2 linked regions of the Oryctolagus cuniculus genome follow. The protein of the gene in region 1 binds, or shares a complex with, the protein of each later gene. Links are inferred from orthologs where the notes say so. Each region holds a gene or a part of one and is shown in the gene's direction. Other genes may lie near its edges. The genes, in order: MEP1A and FETUB.

Region 1 (4,598 bases):
GCGCCGCAGGTGGAGGATTAACCAAGTGAGCCACGGCGCCGGCCCCCATAATTTATTTTTGAAAGTTTCCTGCTCTTACAAAAAAGAACTGAAATTAATATATTATGTGATAATGTGTGCACATGTGTGATTTTCTTTAGTGCATGTAACCAGAGGTGGAGTCTCTAGCCTATAAACTACCACATTTCAATGTCGGAGCTTTGCTATTTCCTTACATTCTTATTTACACCTGTCACATTGGCTTTCTTCACTTATGCCAATCTGAACTTGAAGTGTCATTTCATTGTTGTTTGAATTTGCATTTTTCTGATTACTTGTAAGACTGAAATTTTCCTACATGTTTATTGGACATTTGGGTTTTCTTTTTTTGAATTTTTCATTCATATTTTTTCCCTCTTTTATATAATTCCTATTTTTCTTGCTAATTTATAGAAATTCCTTATCTATCTTGGATACTTATGTAACTATATACAATATAAATATATTTCCTCATCTTTTCTTTTAATACTGTTGTGTTTTGTCATAAAGGAATATAAATTTTTATATAGGCAAATTTATTATTATTTTTCTTTATGATTCCTATGCATTTCTTTTTCTCATTAAAGCAATCTTTCCAGACCTCAAAGCTTTTTGTTTTCTTTTCAAAGTTTAAATTTTTATACTTACCATTTCCACTCAGCTACCTAGAGTTCTCTCTCTCTCTCTCTCTCTCTCTCTCTCTCTGTGTGTGTGTGAATAGTACAGGGTTAGAATTTACATTATTCTCATATGGAAATGCTAGTTTTCCAACATTATTATTGAAGAAACCAAAATGTCCCTATTGACTTTTTTTGTTTCCTCTCATATAAAAAGTCACACTTACGCACGCATCTGTTTTGATACTCTCCATTCCTTTTTGTAGGCTCATTGAACATTCCTTTTGGCAACATCACACTCTAATTTCCATGAATTTATAAAAATTCTTGATAAGGGATTTCTTTTTATTCATCCTTTTCAGAATTCTTACCTGTTCTTGTAAGTTTATTCTTCCATGTCAATGTCAGAAACAGTTTGTCAGTTTGCCCAAATCCGCTGAAAATCCTGTAAGTATTTTTACAAAAGGATGACATTGAATTTATAGACTAATACCAGAGTTATCCACAAATACTTCATATGCGGGGAGAGAGAGAGAAGGAGAGAGAGAGAGAGAGAGAGAGAGAGAGAGTCTTTTTGGTGTCCTTCAATAATTTTATAACATTTCCCTAAAATTCTAATTCATTTTTATTTTGCTAAATACTTTATCATCATTTTATTGATTATTTCCATTGTGTAGGGGATGTTTTACCTATTATAGGAACAGTTACTGCTATACAGGAATGTTACTGGTTCTCATGTGCTCCTTTCAGTGTTAATTTTTCAATTTTCCCAGTCTCTCAAGCTTGAGCTTTTAGGGTAGACTTGGGATCTGTCCTCAGATGCATTAATGCCATCCTCTGTGACTACACAACACTGCAGTCCATAGGGAAGGGTCAAAGTTACTAATATGACAGTCAAGGCAAAGTCCAAAAGGGTTTTATGATGAGGTGTCTTTGCTAAGATCAGTTCACTTGCAACAATGGTTTGTACTAGAACTGCTTGCATTCTCTCTTTTACCTTGTTTTTTGCCCACACAGCAGCTGTATCGGTAAGTAGAGTTCCACTTTTCTGGATATTTAAAAATTTAATTCTAGTGTGTGTTATCCATTTTCAATGTATTTATTTCCTTTCAGATTAAGCATCTTTCTAAAAGAAATGGTAAGAATAAATTTGCAAATGCATAGTGTTACTGAATTTTCTCTCTTTTATCCCAGCAAGACTAGTAACAATTATTTTGCCTCTTTTAACAGTAAAAGATGGAGATTTAGGTGAACAGAAGGATATTCCAGAAATCAATGTAGGTGAGTTCAATTTTTACATTATTAATGTATGGAAAAAATTTAAAGCTCAGTGGTAGAATTATTAAAACCTTCATAATACTATGTTGTGTTACTTTGGGGGAGAAATATTTATTGGTGCCTCATTAAGATTTACAGTTCCCTAAAAACATATTAATACTATGGAAAGAAAAAGAAGTTTAGGCCACATTTTATAAGAGAAATTGTGAGTCTTCAATTGAACCTAGAGATACATACTGTGTTTTCTGTTCATAACAATTTCATTTTTCCAGTTTCTGTTTTAAAAAGACAGAAAACTGTATGAGAATTCTGCTTGCTCCAGAAAATATAGGGAGTAAACCCATGGTTATTCTTAATGGGGTAAAATAAAAAAACCCATTGTCTCCACTGGGCCATCATGTTCACTGCCAGCTGTTTGTTGGGACTTAAAAAGAGTGTAAGGGTGTTTCATTTAAATATCTTTCTCACAAATCTATTTCTTGAGGAAATCCAATGCTCTCATCCATTACTGAGAGGAGAGAGAAGCCTCCGCATATCAGGTGCCATTGTTAGGGTAGGTGCAAGCTGAAATACTCAGGATCATGAACACCTTACTACTTGCAAAAGCTTTTCCTATCCAGCTCATTTATTTGCCCAGCCTTGTAGTGGGGTGGGCACTGGTTTCATTTTTGCAGGAGGGGACAGCAGGCTCCTGTGGCGAGGGTGACTCGCTGAGATCAGGCAGCAGTGAGTCTCCTGACTCACACTTCAACAACCCAGTGTTACTTGAAGACTAAAACTAGGAAATCCTTACCTAAGGGTTAAATGCTTCTGGTCTTGAGTCATTTACAGAGAAGGCAGCTAGTTTATATTTAATGGAAATAGCTTGAGAATGTCAACTTGGGAAGAGCAAAAGAGATTTGGTAAGGTAAATGGGTGTATGGGTGAATGGGTCCCAAGACTTCAGAGTCATCCACTCAAAGAGCTCTCTTTAGAGTCAGTCAAGGTACACACAGTTCAGAGGAACTGTCCCATTATAAAACATGACTGGAATTGGAGTTTTCCTAACCTCATCCTCAGTTATCTAGTAAACATTCGTTCATTTAACTCTGAGTCATTTCTTAGGCTTTGCCCCCCAACCTCTGAACTTGGACCTCAGTGAAGACAAATATTTCCTACATATGAAACCATTTCAGCCAAGCCACCAGGACTGATTGGGGCAATGGTAGCCAGTTCTAAGATCTGGGAAAATTGGCCGGGAAAAATCACAAAAAGAAAGCTGTCGCCTTTTGCTCCTTCCTCTCCATGCCTCACAGGCTGATCTAACCTTTCTTATCTCTGTCTCAAGACCTGATCCTCTCCTCTTTTTCCTTTCAGTAAATGCAACTCCCTTCCTCTAGATTCTAGGCTCAGACCCCAGAGCTGCCCCTGACTCTTAGCCTTTCCTTACATCTCACACACAAGCTGCTAGCTAATGCTACTAGATCTATCTTCCAACTACATCACAGTTGAAATTTTCAGCACTTTCATTGCTAATGCAAGCCACCTCATGGGCTCATCTGTGGCCTCATAACTTCTCTTTCCTTTCACCTCCATCCCCGACAGACTGTTCTACCCAGCGTGGACAGAGCTCTCCTTAGGCAAGCATGCAGATACCATCACTTTTCTCACCCAACCTTCTAACAACTCCTCCTCCAAAACCATCTGTAGGCCTAAGAGCCTTGATTTCCAAAATGTGGTCCGTAGGCCAACGTTGCCTGCTTCACTAATGAGCTTTGCTGGAAATGCGGGCTTTGGGGTCCCACTCCAGACTTACAGGATCAGCAGCTCCACTTTGACAGATCCCAGGTGATTCCTGTGGACGTTATTCTATGAGGACATCAGACCCTGGCTGCCTTTTTCACCTCATTTATTTCTACTCTCCCCCTTTCTTACTTGAGCTCCCCAGCTACCCTGACTGCATAGCTGTTCTCCTGTGAACATGTGGTTTTCAGTATGTGGGCCACCAACCAGCAGCATGAGCATCCCAGGAAACTTGTTAGAAATGAGCATTCTTAGGCCCTGCCCTAGACAAACTGAATCCAAAATCCTAGGGCTGGGGCTCAGTAGTGTTTGATAAGCTCTCCAGGATTCTGGTGCTGAAGTTTGAGGACCACTGCTTTAAGGCATCAGGGCTGTGCTGCCTCCAGACCTTTCTATCTACTGTCACCTCTCTCCAACAGTCTTCTTTATTCCCCCTTCTATGATGGGTCTGCATTAGCAGGAAACTGGAGTCAGGAACCAGAGCCAGGTATTGAATTCATGCACTCTCATTCAGAGTCTTAGCATCTAGGCCAAACAGTTGTGTCTTATGTTCCTTTTTCTACTGCACATTTCACCATCTGCCATACTCTATATTTATTTGTGTTTTTACATATCTCCCCATTCCCCAAATCAAGCATGGCAATGCCTAAGAGCTTTGTTTTATTCACCGCTATATTCCCAGCGTCAAGACAAAAAAAATGCCCAAAAAACATTATGTACTTAATTAGCACGTGCTCCATGAAAAACTTGGGTAGTGAACAGATTGAGGCTTGTTTTCCTTGGATATGTACTTGTTTGGAAAATGCTCTCTTCCCTGCATGAACCCATCCATGCTGACAAACCAGTGGGGCCAAGTCTGTGTGGATTTGTTTACATCACTCTGGAAGTGTTCCCCTGCCTCCT
Region 2 (4,238 bases), on another chromosome or scaffold:
AGCCCAGTAAGTGTAGGAAAATGTGATCTAAATGGGTTTCTTCACCCTAAAACACCTGCCAGCACGTGCTGAGACTCCACAAGAGGCTGCATTCCTGCGTGCAGTCGTTCCTACACGTGTGTGAACACAGAACGTGGGAGATGAGGGTGGGCGGGCTGGAGCTGCTCTCACTCCAGGTCCAGGGTTCCGTGGAACGCCTTCGCTGACAAGCCTGTTTCGGTGCTGTCTTCACACCCAGCCTCTTCTCTCCTGATAAACGACGGTGTGTGTTTTTAAATAGAAAGCTTTTAAAAGGCCATTTCTTTCATACAGTCCCAATGGTAGAAATTTCCTGAACCCCAAACAGAAGAGGAAAAAGGAAAACCAGAGTCCCAACCAATGTGTCTCTGGCATGCACCTGCCCATCATTGTCTTCCTTTATTAAAAAACATTTATTTTGTATTTATTTGAAAAGCAGAGTTAGAGAGAAAGAGAGAGAGAGTTACACACACACAGAGAGAGAGAGGAAAATATGGAGAGAGAGGTCTTCCTTCTGCTGGGTCACTCTCCAAATGGCCACAACAGCCAGAGCTGGGCCAGGCCAAAGCTAGCAGCCAGGAGCCAGGAGCTTCATTCAGGTCTCCCACATGGGTACAGGGGCCCAAGTACATTAGTAGCGAGCTGGATTGGAAGTGGAGCAGCCAGGACATGAACCAGCACCTAGATGGGATGTTGGTGTTGTAGGTGGTGACTTTCCCATGGCACTAGCCTTAGTATCTTCCTCTTGTCTGAAGAGGTGTCAGTCTCTTCATGACTTTGCTTCCCTACAGCTCCGTAGAAGGGAGAATAGACTTGGAGTATGATGTGAGAACTCTTGATGTCCCATTAACTGCTTTTCCATTCCATGAAATCCTTGCTTCAAAAGAATGAAGTGAGGCTGAATGGGACACTCTCTCGGCCACATGCCCGAGATGTATTGGGAAGCCCACTGGTGCTTCTGGGAGGTGACTGAGGGGTTCAGCCTCCTTCCTGATCTAGGGGAGGTGTGAGTTCACCGAGCACTGCTGTAAGCCTTGGCCCCGTGCTCCTGCCTAAGTTCAGCAGTGTGGCCAAGGAGAGCAGTCAGAGGCACTTGGGGAGAAGGTGATTATTCCCACCACCACCATTTTGTTCCTGGTGTACACTGGACACAAGTCAGAATCCATCATGATCTCCTAAGGGCCTTGACTAAATATTTGTTAGGATTTACTGAAAACTGTTGGGAAACTTTATTTTGTTTACATGTCCACCCGAATATGAGATTACTCAGGGGTTGATGGTTACACATATCGACAGATCCCATCCAAAGTACTGACTCCAGGAGATCCTTGTTTAGAATTCAAGGTAATAAAATGGGACAACCTGGCAGCCAGAACCACTCAAGCCTGACCTTGAGGCGCTCCACAAGCCAGTCCATCTCTGCAGCTCCACACCCTTGTTTCCCCCTAGGAATGGGTCTGCTCCGAATCCTGGGGCTCTGCGCCCTGGCCGCATGCTGCGGGGTTGTGTCTGTACCCCAGCCGTTCCTCAAGGACACACCTCTGCTCTCCCGGAACTGCAATGACTCAGATGTGCTGTCGGTCTCAGGCTTCGCCCTGCAGGACATCAACAGAGACCAAAAGGACGGCTACGTGCTGAGCCTCAACCGAGTGAGCCGCGTCTGGGAGCACACACAGGCAAGTGATGCTGTCCGCACTCAGGCAGTCATTTGGACAGCTGCAGAGGCTGGCCGGTGGCTGGGAACCCTCAGACAGGTTGGCAGGTACTTTCAAGATTGGGAACTTGGCCGAGAACCTGACAACATTCTATTCTCCACCAGGCATGCTACTATTCTCTTGTGATCAAGAGCCAGTGCAGAGATCCTACTCTGACATTTGTCTAGGGGCCATAACTTTCAAGGTGTCGCCACAAACACCATATCCTTTGGCTGTCTCAAAAAGCAGAGACTTGTCCAGTCTTTGAGTTCCAGCTCCCTGTGGGATGTGATGTGTTTCTCTACCCCTTCCCACAGGATCACCTAGGGTCTGTGTTCTATCTCGTGTTGGACGTGTTGCAGACTGGTTGTCATGTGCTCAGCAAGAAGGCGTGGCAAGACTGTGCGGTGAGGACCTTGCACACCTCAGTAAGTACTCATTCTCGGGGCTCCAGGAAAGAGACTAGGTGCCCTCTTTCTCCAGGTGCAGGTGGTTTGCTGTCTGCCCTCTTTCTCCAAGTGCAGGTGGCTTGCTGTCTGCATGCTTTAACTGGCCCTCTTTGTAGCCTGAAGAGAGGGTGCCCACATGCTTATTTTCATGCTGGAGACAGAATCAAGTCTAACCCATCAGAGGGGTTTCTAGAAAGTTCCACTAGGGTCATGCTGCCCAGAATTGAAAAGGTGTCCCCAAATTGGTTTTGTTTTAATTTTTCTTTTTATATACTAGTTTTGTTATTCATTAGCATGCAATACCGTGCACTGTTACAGGGTATGGTACACTATTTCCACACATGCAGGTAGTGTAAATAGAGCAGATCGGGCAGTTATCCCCTCCTCTCACCCTTTCCAGCCTGTAGTAATCACCATTCTAAGGTCAGAGTAACTTTTTAAACTCCCACGTATGGGAGAGAAATGCAATAATTTGTCTTTCTGTGTCTAACTTCTTTCACTTAACATAACCCCCTCCAATTCTATCCATTTTGCTATGTCAGGGTTTAATTTAATTTAATTTAATTTTAGAGCAAAGAGACAGAGCTGTCATCTAGTAATTTATTCCCCAAATGCTCCCAGTGGCCCCAGGCTGGATGCCAGGTCTGGGAGCCAGGAACTCAATCCAGGTCTCCCACGAGGTCTCCCACTACTGGCAGGAACCCAGTCGCTTGAGTCCTCGCCACTGGCCCTCAGGGTCTGCATAGGATTTCATTCTTTTCCCAGAATTGCTTTCTACCTCAAGATCCTCCTGTAGCTCTCAGCCATTTGTTTACATTGGAAGCAAAAAACCAGAGGCAAAGATTCTGGATGTGGAGTTAAGGAGTGCAGAAATTATGGAAGGAGGGCTTTTTATACTTCTTTTATATTTGCTTTGTTTTGTCTTAATGAATGCTAATGCAAGGGCTGTGGCTAGAGAAAGGGATGGCTTACAGTGTAGGAGCCCTTAGGGGTACCTTGGAAGGATTTCCTCAATCATAGAATCTCAATGGCCTCAGAATTGATCCTTTTAAAGATGAATAGAAAAAGAATAGTTTTGTTTGATTCTCGATTATCCTGGGATTAACATTAATTGACATGAACTGTGTAACCTGAGTACCTGATAATGACGTCTTTGAAAGAAAACTTTTCAAATCATGTAACCAAATTTGTTAAACTGCATGGACTGATTTTGAAAAGCAAATAGTCGATTTCCCTGCTGTGGATTTTGTTAAGATGACGCTAACTGCTGGAGCACGCGCATGGACAGGGATGCACTCACATCACGTGGTAGAAGTTTGCTTCCCACTCATGAGAAGTTCATGTCCAAGACACTGCCACCTGTAACTCATGGCTTCCACAGTGCTCTGCATCATTATGGAAAGAGAATTTTTAAATCCATGCACAGTATTTTCATAATATATGTTTTCCATAAACATTTTGAAGACCCCTTGAATGCATAGATTTCAAAAATTTTTGCACCAAAATAAACTTAATTGTTAGTTCTGTTTCTTCACAAACTTTTTTGATGTTCCTTTTTATACTCACACTTAATCATGGGGGAGGCTTGGAAATGTGTGTGCCCAAGAAGAGGTCAAACAGCTGGGTGGTGATCCACTGCAGCTCCTCCCACTCCAAATCCCTTAACGTCATCTTAAGTTTCTCATTACTTAAAAGTATACAAGTTTCATTGCAGGAGTAGTTCATTCTATAGTGTCACATAATGTATTTCTTGGTTACAGGTTTATGGACAGTGCAAAGCACTGTTTTACATTAATAAGCCAAGAAGAATCCTCTATTCAATTGCTTATAACTGTACTCTTCGCCCAGGTAAGAAATGTTAATTTTAATAAAAGAGGGAAAAGAGCATTTAACCAGAGTTTTGTCAAGCGTGGCTAGGGTTTCTACCATGTTTATTTCATCTTCATTCCAATACCAGTTGCTTAATCTTTCTAGGACTTGCCTTCCCACTAAATGTCAACATACACCTCTCATCTTTCAGTTAATCTTCCTAAATCATCTCCAATAGCTCTCCATTGTGTCCTGCATTAAATCCTAA

What was found.
Region 2: the proteins of MEP1A (region 1) and FETUB are in contact, whole or in part, in a cryo-EM structure (PDB 7UAI), measured with the Homo sapiens proteins. The link is inferred for Oryctolagus cuniculus from reciprocal best matches to the Homo sapiens genes MEP1A and FETUB. Residues at the interface, in NP_005579.2 of Homo sapiens: Asp126, Gly127, Cys128, Trp129, Ser130, Glu131, Val132, Gln145, Gly146, Cys147, Tyr149, Ile152, His155, Glu156, His159, Tyr164, His165, Gln167, Ser168, Leu184, Gly186, Tyr187, His189, Asn190, Asp192, Tyr194, Tyr214, Gln215, Phe217, Ser218; in NP_001362516.1 of Homo sapiens: Phe109, Phe110, Lys144, Lys145, Tyr148, Met149, Thr150, Cys151, Pro152, Asp153, Cys154, Pro155, Ser156, Ser157, Ile158, Ser196, Ser197, Gln198, Trp199, Val200, Val201, Gly202, Tyr205, Phe206, Thr242, His245, Trp246, Phe249, Val250, Ser251.

What each region holds. Positions count from the first base shown.
Region 1 is NC_091436.1:123,327,206-123,331,803, reverse strand, and holds the start of MEP1A (meprin A subunit alpha), read left to right. Parts: upstream 1-1,594; coding exon 1,595-1,663; intron 1,664-1,748; coding exon 1,749-1,773; intron 1,774-1,865; coding exon 1,866-1,916; intron 1,917-4,598.
Region 2 is NC_091435.1:96,348,236-96,352,473, forward strand, and holds the start of FETUB (fetuin-B), read left to right. Parts: upstream 1-1,369; 5' UTR 1,370-1,370; coding exon 1,371-1,694; intron 1,695-2,029; coding exon 2,030-2,140; intron 2,141-3,921; coding exon 3,922-4,009; intron 4,010-4,238. UniProt on the Homo sapiens protein: Protease inhibitor required for egg fertilization.